3 linked regions of the Drosophila melanogaster genome follow. The protein of the gene in region 1 interacts with the protein of each later gene in a pairwise test. Each region holds a gene or a part of one and is shown on either strand. Other genes may lie near its edges.

Region 1 (4,113 bases):
CTCAATTAAAAGCGACATTTAAATTAGATTAAAAATGGCAATGTATAATTTGTTTCAAAGAATAACTATGTATGCCACAGGCCACACACACTAACCTGCTCGCATTTTCTCACACCCTTTGAATCCTTCTTAATCTCCAGTCGGAGAGCAAACAAAAAGCAAAAGCAATCTTTCCTTTGTGCCACGTCTCGAAAGTCTGAAGAGATCCTTGCCAGCACAGCCTATTTGCTGCTGTTTGCTCCTTTTGAGGACCTTTGCTTTTTCGAGGGTAAACGCTGCAGTGCCAGAGGTGGAGAACTTTGCAAGACTGAATAAAAGTCGGCCTAAAGTCTTATTGTTTTCTGGTTTTTATCTGAAAGCTGCTGCTGCTGCTGCCTCAGCTCTGTCATTCGAGGTCCTGTGAAGTTGGCGATTATTGTTGCAAACTTAGTTGACAACTTGCCTGCTCGTCCTGCCATCTGCACCGCCCACTTATCGCCACCACCGCCCACCCCAAGGCCATGCAGATGATGGGCCGCCAAGCGTAATAAGGCCGAAGCCCAGGGAAAGAGGAAGTCTAGTGAAAATAAACAGTCGGACAGCCAAGTTGGGCATAGTTGAGCTTCTCGGCATCTCAGCTTCGCAGTCTTGCAGTTTCCCAGTTTCCCACTCTCACAGTTTTTCAGTTTCCCAGTTCATAGTTTGCCTGTTGTCTCCCCATTGTCCTGGCCATTCTTTATTTTTCAGTCCTTCCACTCCGGCTCTATATTATTATTATGTCTTGGCCCGGACTGCACAAAGTTTTGCCATTCTCTAACGACTTTGAATTTTTAATAATACCCCGCTGGAGCTTAACAATTTTGCCATCGTTCGGTTGTAGCGGCTAAGCTTTGTTACCAATTTAATGCATTTCTTGGTTGACGGAAATTGAATATCCGTTAAGATATATTAACAATTTATGCCGCCCTGATTGCCGACCCCCAATGCGGGTGCGGAATGAGGAGATCTATGCCTTTTTTGCAGTAAAATTGAAAACGAAACGAAACGGAACCAAAGCACACAGATACTATACACGAACGAACGGTAGCTGTGGCAAGAGAGCAGTCATCATCAGGGCCATAATGAGCAAGTCAATAGCCGGGCGGGCCAGCAGCAAAGGGAAAAGTCGAGGGGAAAGCCAGGCAATCGATGACGGAGCAAGGAAAATGCCGGCTGCCAGCAGTCATGCAGCGACGTGCGATAAAAAGCAGATTGCAATTTGTTTTACTGATTTCCATGCTTTTGGCTTTATTTGCACGACGGAAACTTTCATTAACATCAAACAGAAACTGAAATTGAAGCAGTAATGGCATCGCCAGCACTCCAAAGGATACAGCCACGGGGAAAAGCTGGAAAAGCCGATCGAAATGCACTTAAATCATGGCAAGAATGAGATCTACGGCATGCTTAAGTGGCATTATATGTACATACATATGCGCATATACGAGAATGCCATTATTAAGTTGCATCCTTCATTTGCTCAATTTGGCCAGTTGACCAGCTGGCCATTTAATTGATACGGCAAAAGGTCAGGGTGATGGTAGACCCACTTGACACCTCACCAAATTCCAGAATTCTTTGGGCAAACATTTGAGCAACATAAATGCACAAGTCCTACCAACCAATTAGTTGGCAAATAATGGAGAGAAATGACTTTTCATCTCTCGACCGCAAACAAAGTCCTTTTGTATTCCACCCAGGACCTCCTGTTCTGAAATTTATGCACGGACTTGGGCCTGCAAGGATCTCGAGGAGTGGCGGACGACTCTTGTTTTGTGTTCCAAGTAATTTGAACAAATTTGCGAGACATTTTGTGGCCTCCGAGCAAATATTTCAGGCCAATGCTAACCACCCCATCATCATCATCATGGCTTGGGCAGGCCTTTTGCGGACAAAGGCCAATTAACTTAAATAATTAGCCAGAAGTTTTCGCCATCGGAGATGAATCTCAGCCTACGAGATGCTCAAGTAATTTCAATAAAATGTTATCATTCGGTTGCTGTCGAGTTGCCAGGGAAAATCCAATCAATTATCGCCCAAGGGAAGCAAATTCGTACAGAAAGTTAAAGGCCCAGGGAAATGGGAAACAAGCTGCGCCGCCAACCACAAAGAGTTGAAGTTGACGAGGAGGAGGTGAGATCCGACCGACCCCAGAAGAAGCCACCATCGTCATGGCCCTTCTGGCGCCTGGTCTACTGGCTGGGAGTCCTCATCATGGTCATCGGCATCGGTGTGGGCATGTACTTCACCCTCAAGTCGGACTTCGGTGAGTGCTCCTCCTACGACGTCCGTTGCGATTGAGTGCTCCTGGCGATATAGAAACTTCCACGGAAATGGCGGAATTCATTACCCATTGAACTTCAACTAATTTGAAGCAGCTTGGCCTGCGAAAGCAATTGTTCTACATTTAGCGAGAGTAAGTATGCCAGCAGATATTAAAGAAAACTATTTAAAATTATTTCCCAAATTAGATTTAATTAAAACTTATACACCAGTTATGTTTTCTTGTCGAAACATCAGTTTGATCTTTTTACTTTTTATCATCGCAGTCTACATTTGCCTGTTTGTTTTATATATACTCCACAGAGTTGGTGAAGATAATTAATATTGGGTTTGTAATATTATTTTTCATTTGCCTTGCAGTATAAACCAGCTTATCTTTTCGCAGATTCATATGTAAAGTTATTCATTTGTCTGTTCTCCTGTTTGAATTGTGATATGCTAAGCTTGGTTATATCACTATCAACTTACGTGCAGTCCAATACTTGTCATACATGAATTCTAGCAGCTGGATCTTAATTAAAGCCGGATGAAACAACCCACCCCACACTAGACCGCCTCCTTTATTGTTAACAATTACAAAAGCAAGGCCGAAGCCGCGCAATCTCCAGCAACACATGCAGATACATTTGTGCATGTAGACGTGTGTATTTGTGATGCTATTCAAACTTATTGGAGCGCTTCCTTTTGATGGCGTTCTGGTTGACTCTTCAATGGCGAAACACTTTTTAGTTGAATGAAGCTAGTGAATGCACATATTTTGGGTTGCATATAAAAAATCCTACGATTATTCACTGGCCCTATTTATTTTGGTGTTAATTAACGAAGTGGAGAATGGCATTCATTGATAAAAGTGTACAACGATTTTTATTTCACATATTTATGCTATTGCTGTAATTAAAATAACAATTTGAATTAAAACTCTAATTTTAATAAATAAACTAAAATTGCACACTTATGACGACACATTTTATTTAAATTACCAGCTTAGGAAGTTGATTGCTTCTACTAAACGAGACAAAAGTTATTTATTTCGGTGCGTTGGGGGTTTATCTTAAAACGACTTCTTATGAGAGGGGCCATCAGTCAAGGTCAAGCTTAACAAAGATTTGTCGGCAATTCGAGCTTTTATTTCTTTGACACTTGCCAGACTTCTTTCGTTCGCACACAGCAGGTGAAATATAAATAAACTTTTTAATGAACTTTAAGATTTATTGCCAGCAGCAGCCGCAGCAAGTCAAGTCTGACACTTTGTGGCTTTAAATTTTCGGACGGGAATGTGCTGTTTAGATAAATTATACAGCACAATATATCCCGAAGGCACTGGCTGGCTGACTGAATATTTTGAATGTGAAGAGCACCCTGCCCTGAACTAAATATTCTGCAAATAATTGCACTCGACATCGACTGAATAGACCTAGCCCACAAATAATATCTTAATGCTTGCTCTGTATTTTACGAGCTTCCACCCATTAGACGCACACACTGCGTATGCGTAATGTCGAAATAATATCATTAGTATAATTGAACATATCTTGGTGTTGGCTCGGTCAGGCAATCAGATGTCACAGGTGATGTTATAAAATTCACAAAGCAAGCGGCTGATGAGCTGATTATTTACGTTCCAACATCTTTGAGGAGATAATTAACAATGTCGAGACATCAATTATCGCAATGTTGCAGCCAGCCCCCCAAGCGAAATTGAACTTGAAAAAGTCAAGGACTTGGGACTTGGGAATTATTTGTGTCGCTCTTGTTGTTTCACTATGTATCCTTGCTGTTTCCTTAGTTTTTTCTCTCAGCTATTTCTGTTAG
Region 2 (5,307 bases), on another chromosome or scaffold:
GCAGAAAAAAAACTATAGCAAGCGAAAAAGAAATAAAGGTGAATCCAATTGAATCAAGTTCAAAATTATTTGTAGCATGTTCTGAAGCTAATTTCTTAACTGTGTGTTCGTATAGTTTCATTATTTAAATTAGTATAAGATTGATTTTAAAATATTACAGTTTTTTCTTTCTGTGAAGTTTGCACTATCTGTTGAATGGTTTTTTTGGCATTTTTTGGCGCGTTGCTGGTGGGATGGATGGGATGGGATCGAGAGTCGAGAGTCTGTTCAGGCGCATCTTCAGCTTAATTGAATTTTAGCTGCTGCTGCAGCTTCTGCTGCTGTTGGTGAATGCATTTTCCACCGGCTCCCACACGTTGTGCAAATGCTTTCGGCACTTTTACTGCACATCGGGCTTACATAATGAGTAAAAATTAAATAATTTACCCAGCCAATGGATTCTGGCGTGTACTGTAGCTTGTAGCTGCCAGGTGGAACACCGAATTCGTGTCTTTGTCGGCAAGCACATTCATCAATGTCAGGCGTTGAGTCCGAGGCCATTTGAGTTTCGAATAGATGGGTATTTAATTGAAAGCGCCCGCTAATTAGAATCCAATACGCTTAGATGCTGTGTAATGCCAAGCGATGGATCGTGTCGGACCTCATCTTCCAATAACAATTGGGACTTGGGCATCTGGCACTTCCTTATTGCTGGCCTTTCCCACGCAGAGGGATCGCGTGAGTCATTGCCACACACAGGAGTTGGATCGCAAGGCGAACAAACATTTATTACAAACAGCATTACAGCTCTTGCACAATCGCAATCGGCAGCAAATTAGAAAGATGGCGGCCACTTCCCACAGCTTTTTTGGCAGATGGCTCCGCTCCGCTCCATACCACACAGGGTTGAAAGTCATCCTCCAGTTGACATTTTTTCGCCAGCTGCTGATCTGCATGACTTTGGCTGCCTGGCCTTTTTCCGGCAGGCAACCTCAACTTTGAAATGCCAAGCTGCCAGCTTAGTGCAGTTTGGCGCACTTCAGTTCAGTTCCAGGTGACATGACAGCTTGAGGTTGCTTGCTAGCCATCTTTCCTGGGCAGCAAATATGGAAAATCTAAGCAGCAACGCCCAAGATCCGCCAAAGATCTGGCCAAAAGTAGCAGGCGTGTAAATTCCCACACTGCAGCAAATGCCGTCAGCCTAACCGTCACCCGGAGTCCCCCATCCATGGGGCTCCATGCCACACTCACCCATATACACATAACCGGATTGGCGGTGGCACCGCGACTTTTGCCCCGACATGGCAGCCGCGGCAGCAACGGCAGATGGGGCAGCAAATGACAAAGCCCCGCCACGGCTATGACATAATACCCAGCGGAAGATGCAACCAACGAGCTTGGTGCACCAAGTGCACTGCAAAAATCAAGAACATCATATTGTTCGAGAAGGAAATAAATTTGAAGTAAGATTTTAATAACCTAGAATATTTGTAAGGATATGTCGAATTCGGAAACCAGAGAAAAGGCTCATGTGGGCTACCAAAGAAGTTTTTTATTTTGTTGTACTTTTGATCAAATTTATTTGTAAAATCTAAACCTCTCTTTGTTCATCTACTTTTTTCCTCAGTGTACAGCGGGTGTAATTGATGTGGGGTCGTTGGTCGGGCGGGGGAGTGCTTGCCCATAATCATGAGCGGGCCCTGCGGCCAGCTGACGTAAGTGATGAGCGCCAACGACTCCTGCCAGGCGGTGCATCGCGTACAATGCAACCAAGTAAGTGTCATATGGTCACACGTTGCGTATGCGTAATTTGCGTTAAGCATACGACAGCGAGCCGCAACCAAATAAGCAGCAGAACCAAGAAGCGGTGGAAAAACAAGCACAAAACCGAACAGCAGACGACCACGAAGATGCGAGACGAAGCTGGAACGCTGATGCGCTGCTTGCGTCGACGACGCACAGTAGTTAAAATATACAAAATATACTTTAAGAAAGAAACTTAACCTTTCAACTATATGTATTAACATTTTAAGAAATCTAAACCAACAAGATGTTAAAATTCTATTAAAACGTAAGCTTTAATTTAACTCTTAAATACCTTAAATATTTATATTTACCTATTAAATACGTATGATTTCATAAATACAAATGCTTATATTAATCTTTAAAACGTTTGTAGTTTAATGGATGTATTGTATTTCAGTTTAGATCATCGGGATGGGATAAATTAGATTATCACACATTTTTGCCCCACTGTGCACCAGTGCGGCTGCTGCCTTGGAAGCAGCGCCCCGATGGGCTCCAAGTGGTTTTCCTTTCGCTTTCAGAAATCATTTCGCTTCGACAACGTGAACGATAAAGTCACAGATCGCGCATCGCGAGCCCGCTCTGCCCGCTGAACTCGCCTGGTTCGCCTGTCTCCTCCGGTCGGTTGTTGGTTGCTCCTCAGTGGATGTGGTTGGTGGTTGCTGGCTGGTGGTTCTGCTGTGACTCTGTGTTTTCCGCTGTTTGCCCAGCCAAGTGCGGCGGAGGCAGACGTCTTCAACGTCTCGCTGCACCTTCTAAATGGGCTTTCCGTAGTTTTCGCACCTTGCGAAACACATTTCGTACGCATTTACATACAAGATCGAAGTTTGAAGAATTTTGCCCTGCTGTCTGCTCATTTCCTACATGACGGACAACTTTTTATGGCGATGATTTTCGCGTTGAGTTAGTGAAAAAAAGAAGCAAAAATACAAAACAAAAAAAAAAAACAAAGTAACAAAGAAGCAAAAATCTTGTGCAGTGGGGAGTTTTGCAATCAAATCCCTTTCAATACTCATAAGATTTCTGGTGTTGTGCCCTCTTGTTTTGCAGTGCGATCCATGTGAAAATCGACATTTAGTATCAGCTTAATTGCTCTGGATTACTTATTGGATATCATCCTGATTTTGGATTATAAAAACTAATACAACATGCTGAGCATTATAAATGCAATGATTGCCTTCCTCCTGGGTGAGTAAAAGTTTGAATCTCAAAAAGGATATTATTTTAAGCAGTTGGATTAAGCAGTTAAATTTTAATTAAATTTTTTTAACTACATCATTACAAAATTAAGGTGACGTTTTTTTTTAATCTTAAATACTTTAAAAAATATTTTTCTATTTCATAATGTACATGTTCAAAGAAGGGTTAGGATTTATTAAACTACATTTGAATTGTGTCAAAATTTTCCCTTTTATGTTTTCCCTCTAAGTAAATGTAATTTTAAATATAAAAAAATATAAGCTTAACCCTAAGCAATTTCGTAGATTAGAAAACAGGCATCAACTTTAAGAAAAACGTAGAAATTCGATTTCGATTGAGTACAAAATTTCCAAACGTTTTTCTAACTAAAAACTATGTTTTGCTTTTTGTGATCCCATTTGCTGACGATCACCTTCTCTACATAAATGATAGCATATCGGTAAAAAAAAAAAAAAAATCGCATGCTCATTAGGTTTTGTTTTTGAACACATGAAATACAGATACAGTGCGCTGCTTCAAGGTCCATCGCGAAAGAAATTAATGGGATTCAATGGGTTTCATATCGATCACATTTGAAATCAAGCGTAATTCGCTTGGCAGCCCCTGCAGCAGGCAAAAATGAAGACAAGGCTGAGAAATGGCAATTACGGCTAAGAGTGGGTCATCAGTAAACATAATTACCATACTGTAGATTATATTTTTTCAGTGAGAGCTTGAGTGGGACAACGCCCAGCACAGTGGCTTGAGGGGATTTGAACTGCGTGAGAGCTTAGGTCGGCCCAAAGTTTTGACCAATTTGTAGGTTCAGCTCAGCAACCAAGCAATTGAAATCGAAATCGAACAATCTACAATGGATGGGGGTAACAAAAGAGCTGCCTGGGATGCCTTTGCCAGTGCCCCATGCCATCTGCCCAGTCATAGTTCACTGCCAAACAATAGGCTGCTTTGCTGGGGTGGAAAGTTGGGTTTGAAATTCACTTGAATTAAATGCGAATCAGAGTCGAGTTTCGGCCACAGCGTCTTTCTTTCTTCGAACTGTGCTGGATGGCTTGTTTTCTCTTTGTTTTGCATTTTGGGTTTCCTTTACCAATTTTTTTTTTTTTTTTTTTTGGCATGATAAATGGGGGCGCACTGGGGGATTATGCAACCTGCGACTGCAATTTGCAGCCGTAGAAGAGGAGCTTTGTTCTGCAGTTTGCCATGACAATTACACTTGCCTTAATTGCAGCGAAACCATCTTCCGCTGTCTGCAGAACAGAAGCTTCGAAGAATAAAAAAATATATGCAAAAAAAAAAAGATATGTCTAAATGTATATAAAAAGCCATAGACAACAATGATACATTGTTCAATCTCAGGGTAATTAGGCAGACCCCTGAGTCTGTTTTGCTTTTAATGCCCAATGTACACATGTCCGACAAGCGTAATCCGTAAATTTGATTGACTTGGCATTTTAATTGAGCGACCCCTATGTGCCCAGTAGATCCAGTGGATCCGTTTGTGACCACAGCGATCGCATATCGTTCGGCTGGCCAAAATGTTAATGATGTCGCTCGCCATCGCAAATACCAATCGATGCTCCGAAAAAGTAAATAAAAAGCGGTCCCAAGCACTCACAGAACCGAGTTAGTAGCTCCACAGCCTTGGACCGCAGCAAGTGCTCCGGCACACATAAATCACGAGCTCGTCTCGCAGTTGTAAGCGAAAGTGATGCGGCCCGAAGGTCACTTGACCACCAGGGCACCAGGCACCATCACCAGCAGCATCGTCTCGATCGGCACCAGCATCTGTTCCCACTAAATACCCATTCGACTCGATTCTGGCCCCACTTGAGGTGCCGTTTGAAGAGCAGACCTAACCGGATCACGATTTCTGACTTCTTTATATTGTTTCCACTCTTGCAGCAACGACACTTTGCAGTGGATACGGATACGCGCAGGCCCAGTTGCTCGACGAGGACGACGACCTGGCCTTCGGAAGGCCCTGGCCCACCTACAGCCTACAGAACATGCCCAAGACGCAGTTCACCTGCCACGACAAGATCCTGGGTGGCTACTATGCCGATCCGGAGACCCAGTGCCAGATGTTCCACGTCTGCGTCAAGCTGCCCGGAGTGGGGGTGAGTAATGTTGTGCCCAGGTGCAAGTGCTTCTGGTTGAGATCAAGGCAGCAGTGGCTCATGTAGCAAACGACATTGGCATAGAAATGATATATTTAATATGGGTACTAAATACTACCTTTTTTTGACAATAATATTTTCTACAGAATCAAAATGAAAATACTTTACAAATTTCAATATATGGTTTATTGATCAAAAATTACCA
Region 3 (4,031 bases), on another chromosome or scaffold:
GCCAGCCTGCATCCCTGACATGGCGTTGCCACTCTGTGGAATTGTGCTACCCTTAATTAAAAGTTTACTGGTTAATTGCAAAGTTGCTATTTTAAAATCGTTATAGGCTGATTTTCGCAGTTAGGTATTTTTTCTCAATTTTATTTATTCTGCATTCACCTAGCATATATCTTCAAAATTGCTATTGCTCCTGCTCGAAGATTGCCATGTCAACTCAGTGTCCTCGAAATCCACGATATCTCCCAGACGCACAGGTCCCTTGACCGTCCGCATGAATTGCATCTTGGGTTGATCGACCAGCTGCACACGAACTTCGGTTAGAATGCCTCGGGCTCCAATCCGATTGAGAATTTTTATGACACGAGCCTTGGAAGCGACAGGTTGGGGCATATTTTTTGACTAAAGTCAAACTAGCTGTGGTAATAAATTGATAAATTTAATGCTGAATTTTTTTCGAATTTTAACTTTCAGACCTAAAATGAACTCCAGACACTAAAAGTACAGCTTTCTAAACATTTAATTTAGGGGTATGTAACTTACAATATCAAATGACAGTTTTGTTTTGGATATTTTAGAATACTTTGAGGTACATCTTTGCTTAATCCCAGCCGCTTATTAAGTTTGAACACTTTCGAACTTTCCGCGCAGCAAGACATCCCTCATTAATCCTGCGAGTTCCTCGTTCTTCTGCGATCGGATCTCATCGATGACTAACTCCTTGAAACCAGGGTCCTTGGCCGGATCGGTGGTTTCTTTTAGCTTCTGCTTCTCTAGCTGCAGCTGCGGTACTTCCATTCCGAATGTGGCTCCAATTCGCTCCACACTTTGGGCGCCAGTATCACCAATTTTCGACCAACTGTCCGTTCCAAACCAAATGCACAGTGGTTCATTGAAGTCCACGACATGAGAGCGGAACGGATGAGCAGGACTGCCAAATCCCAAGTGACAAATGGTGTCCCTCAGGACCTTGGCCAACTTGGGCATCTTCTGGGAATAGAACAGCAATGCGCCACCTATGAGGTGGGCCATCGATCGCAAGCAGCGGCAGGTGTGCTTCCTGATAATAGGATCGAAACCAGAAAACACATCGTACTTCCCACCGACAATTATCACTGGAAAGGGCAGAGGGTCTAGTTTTTCCGAATCTTTGTTCTGCTGACCCACTCGCTCCACTGTTCGCTGTTCGAGGATTTCCCTAAGCTCCGGTGTTACCTTCTCCATCATCTGCTGCGCCGTATCCCTCAGTCCCTTGTATGCGCACTCCAAATCCGTCCAAAATCGCTGTGGCTGGGAGAGATCTAGCATAAGGATGACGGCTAGTTGCTGCAAACCATGTGTCCGCATTGGTACTTCCAGCAATTGCTCGGCATTGTCCAGGGAGCCCAGTTCCCAAACGTTCATCACCTGCGGTGACTTTCCACTGCCAATCCGTCGTCCAAAGCTGTACTCCAGTGCTAGAGTTGGCCGCGTTGCGTGTTCCTCGCGATCAAAGAACTTATTAATGGCCGTCGTCTTACCCTTAAATAATAAAAAATATAATATTTTTAAAAAGGGGTTTGTAGATTTTTAGTGTATAACTTTTTTGGAATATGATTTTACGTGGATTTATAAGTTGGATCCATTGCTTACCACACACTTGCTTCCCAAGACAAGAATTGTCCGCTCTTTGGGAGTCGTTGTGGCCTCCAATTGGCGAAGCCGCTGCTGCTCCTCCGCCAGTCGACCGGCGATGTCCTGAATGCTGGGCGTGGCACTTTCGCCGCCCTCAGTTCTCTTTACAAACATTTTTTGAAGACGCTGGTGCAGGCTATGAAAGATTAGCGGCAAGCGCATCGCAGGAAAAGGGCATAAACTAAACTACTGCGGTTTGTTTTGCATTTAAAACGGTTGCTACTAGCAACTGCGACTGAGTGGCAACTCTAGGCAATATCAAACTGACCGTTACTTTCACCCCTAAGTTGCATAAATTTGAATATACATTTGAACATAAAGGATAGCTTTAATTTTGGATTTCCTTTATTTATTGGTTGTCATCTGATTAAATTAAACATTAAAAAATATATATATTCCAAATAGAAATCCAGCTAACGATAATAATACTAAAGGAACAAGGGAATCGTTTACCGCCATTGATTTGTACGCATTGAAATTTGTTGATTATTTTCTATTCTTTAATCATAAGCCTTCCATCGACTTTAAGCTTAAGTGTTAAAAAAGTGCGCAACAAAAGAGATACATTTCCAATTTCCTTTTGCTATAGGGCGGAACATAAAAGTACAAGCAATGTACAGCGGCAAACAAGATAGACTGAACTGGACGCGACAATCGGTATTGTATAAATAAAACAAGGATAACAAACAATGAAGACGAACTAGGCTGGGCGGTCGGAGGATTTCCGCGGCAACCATATGGAATACTTCGGAATGCTCAGTAGAGCCAGATCTCCTCCAGAATCCCGTTGTCTAGCTGCTCGGCGGGCAGGGCTTTCAGTGTGCGCAGCGTCTCCATGTAGAAGGTCAGCTCTGATGTCACCACCCCGTGCTGCGGACCCCCATTGTTGTTCACATTCAACTTGAGCAGTTGTTCCCGCAGCTTGTCTTTAAAGTTTCGATGAACAACGCCGTAGATTTCGTGTATCTGTGCCTCCGGCAGCACACCGGCGATGGCCTCGTGAAGTTTCACCAGGTGACGCGAGATGTGACGGAATGTCTGAGAAGGTATAGGTGGTCTGGCTTCCCAGGCATCCAGTTGAGCTGCCAATCTCTCGGATACAATTCCGTGTATTTTATTCTCGATCTCCTTGATGTGACCCTGGTAGTCCCGCTCGATAGTTTCGTATCCGCTCATCGCTTGGAAATGCTCTTTCAGCTTGGGCAGTAGCCATAGAACTAGTTGCAGTGCTCGCGAAACCAGAGCCAGGTTGGTGCTCGTTATGGTTTTTAGCCCAGCAACTCGCATTGCTCCTGCTCCGATAATTAGTTGGCAGCTTCTTGAGTTGAAGCAGCGCAGCAGGTCCACCACATTCCTGGCGTGATAGCTGGCTAACAATGGCAGCCGATGTGCACTACAACCGTACTCATACAACATTCGGATGAGCATTAGCGAAGCGCTGACCAACGTGTACGGTTGTTTGCCTTCCACCAAGAGCACTGGGTTGCCTGCTCCATTGCTTATCAGATTGCCCATCTCCGGTTTGGCATAGTCCCCGGCGGCCATACGTTCGATTATTCTCTGAAATTCGTGCGGAATGTCTACTTGGCGCCAGCGCTCCTGATCCAGGAGTAAGGACAACTTCTGCTTTCGTTCAGAATGGAATCGTTGAGCATATCGGGAGGCTTGGACTTTGAGGGCCAGCTGGAGGGGCACACTGGCCACTCCACAAATGCTCCTTGTTGTCTCGCCAAAGTGATCCACAATCTCAGATAGTTGGAAAAGTTCTTGCTCGCTAGCTGAGCTCCTTTCCAGGCTCTGAGGGGACACAATGTTGGCACAACGCTCATGGCAGTAGTGGCAGACGGCTTGAAGCAGTTGTTGCAATTGGTTTTTTAGTTGCTCATGGTGTCCCGGACTCAAAAAGGCTTCTGAATCTATCAGATTCACTGCGTCCTGGGCTCCCACAGCTGCGTCCGCTGTTTGCTGCATTATACCAACTACAGTTTTAATTCTTTCGAGAATGGAAACCAAAGCTTGGCTGGAGCGCTGGAGCAGAGCAATCCATTCGGGAAGGGTGAGCTCCAAGGCTTGCTCTCCGTGGCCCGTTAAACTGATCTCCTGATCGCTGTCACTCCGTGCCAAAACCTCAATCAGCAGCTGTTTTATGATGGCTCGAATGGTGGCGATTGCTTCTTGCTGGTAAGCCTGGACAAAGGAGAAGTTCTGCTTGCGCAACAGGCCCATCACAATAGCTACGAGTTTATCCTCCTCGGCGCAAACGCTGTCGGTTTCCCGGAGGGCATCCGTTAACGGTCGATTTAGATCGGCGGCAGCATAGCGCTCGAATTCCGTGGTAAGCATTTTGTCAATAAGCTTCT

What was found. The genes of interacting proteins can lie anywhere in the genome.
Region 2: the proteins of CG17580 (region 1) and CG13643 interact in a two-hybrid assay, tested with the Drosophila melanogaster proteins (one large-scale study listed by BioGRID).
Region 3: the proteins of CG17580 (region 1) and CG3769 interact in a two-hybrid assay, tested with the Drosophila melanogaster proteins (one large-scale study listed by BioGRID).

What each region holds. Positions count from the first base shown.
Region 1 is NT_033778.4:12,804,601-12,808,713, forward strand, and holds CG17580 (uncharacterized protein), read left to right. Parts: upstream 1-2,013; 5' UTR 2,014-2,097; coding exon 2,098-2,319; 3' UTR 2,320-2,434; intron 2,435-2,489; 3' UTR 2,490-2,629; intron 2,630-2,686; 3' UTR 2,687-3,211; downstream 3,212-4,113.
Region 2 is NT_033777.3:24,903,005-24,908,311, reverse strand, and holds the start of CG13643 (uncharacterized protein), read left to right. Parts: upstream 1-2,307; 5' UTR 2,308-2,405; exon of another isoform or gene 2,406-2,585; intron 2,586-2,835; 5' UTR 2,836-2,933; coding exon 2,934-2,973; intron 2,974-4,887; coding exon 4,888-5,102; intron 5,103-5,263; exon of another isoform or gene 5,264-5,307.
Region 3 is NT_033779.5:9,433,312-9,437,342, reverse strand, and holds CG3769 (uncharacterized protein), read right to left. Parts: upstream 1,945-4,031; 5' UTR 1,834-1,944; coding exon 1,630-1,833; intron 1,519-1,629; coding exon 616-1,518; 3' UTR 501-615; downstream 1-500. Other genes in the region: RpS28-like (ribosomal protein S28-like), read right to left, coding at 160-390; scat (scattered), read right to left, coding at 2,428-4,031.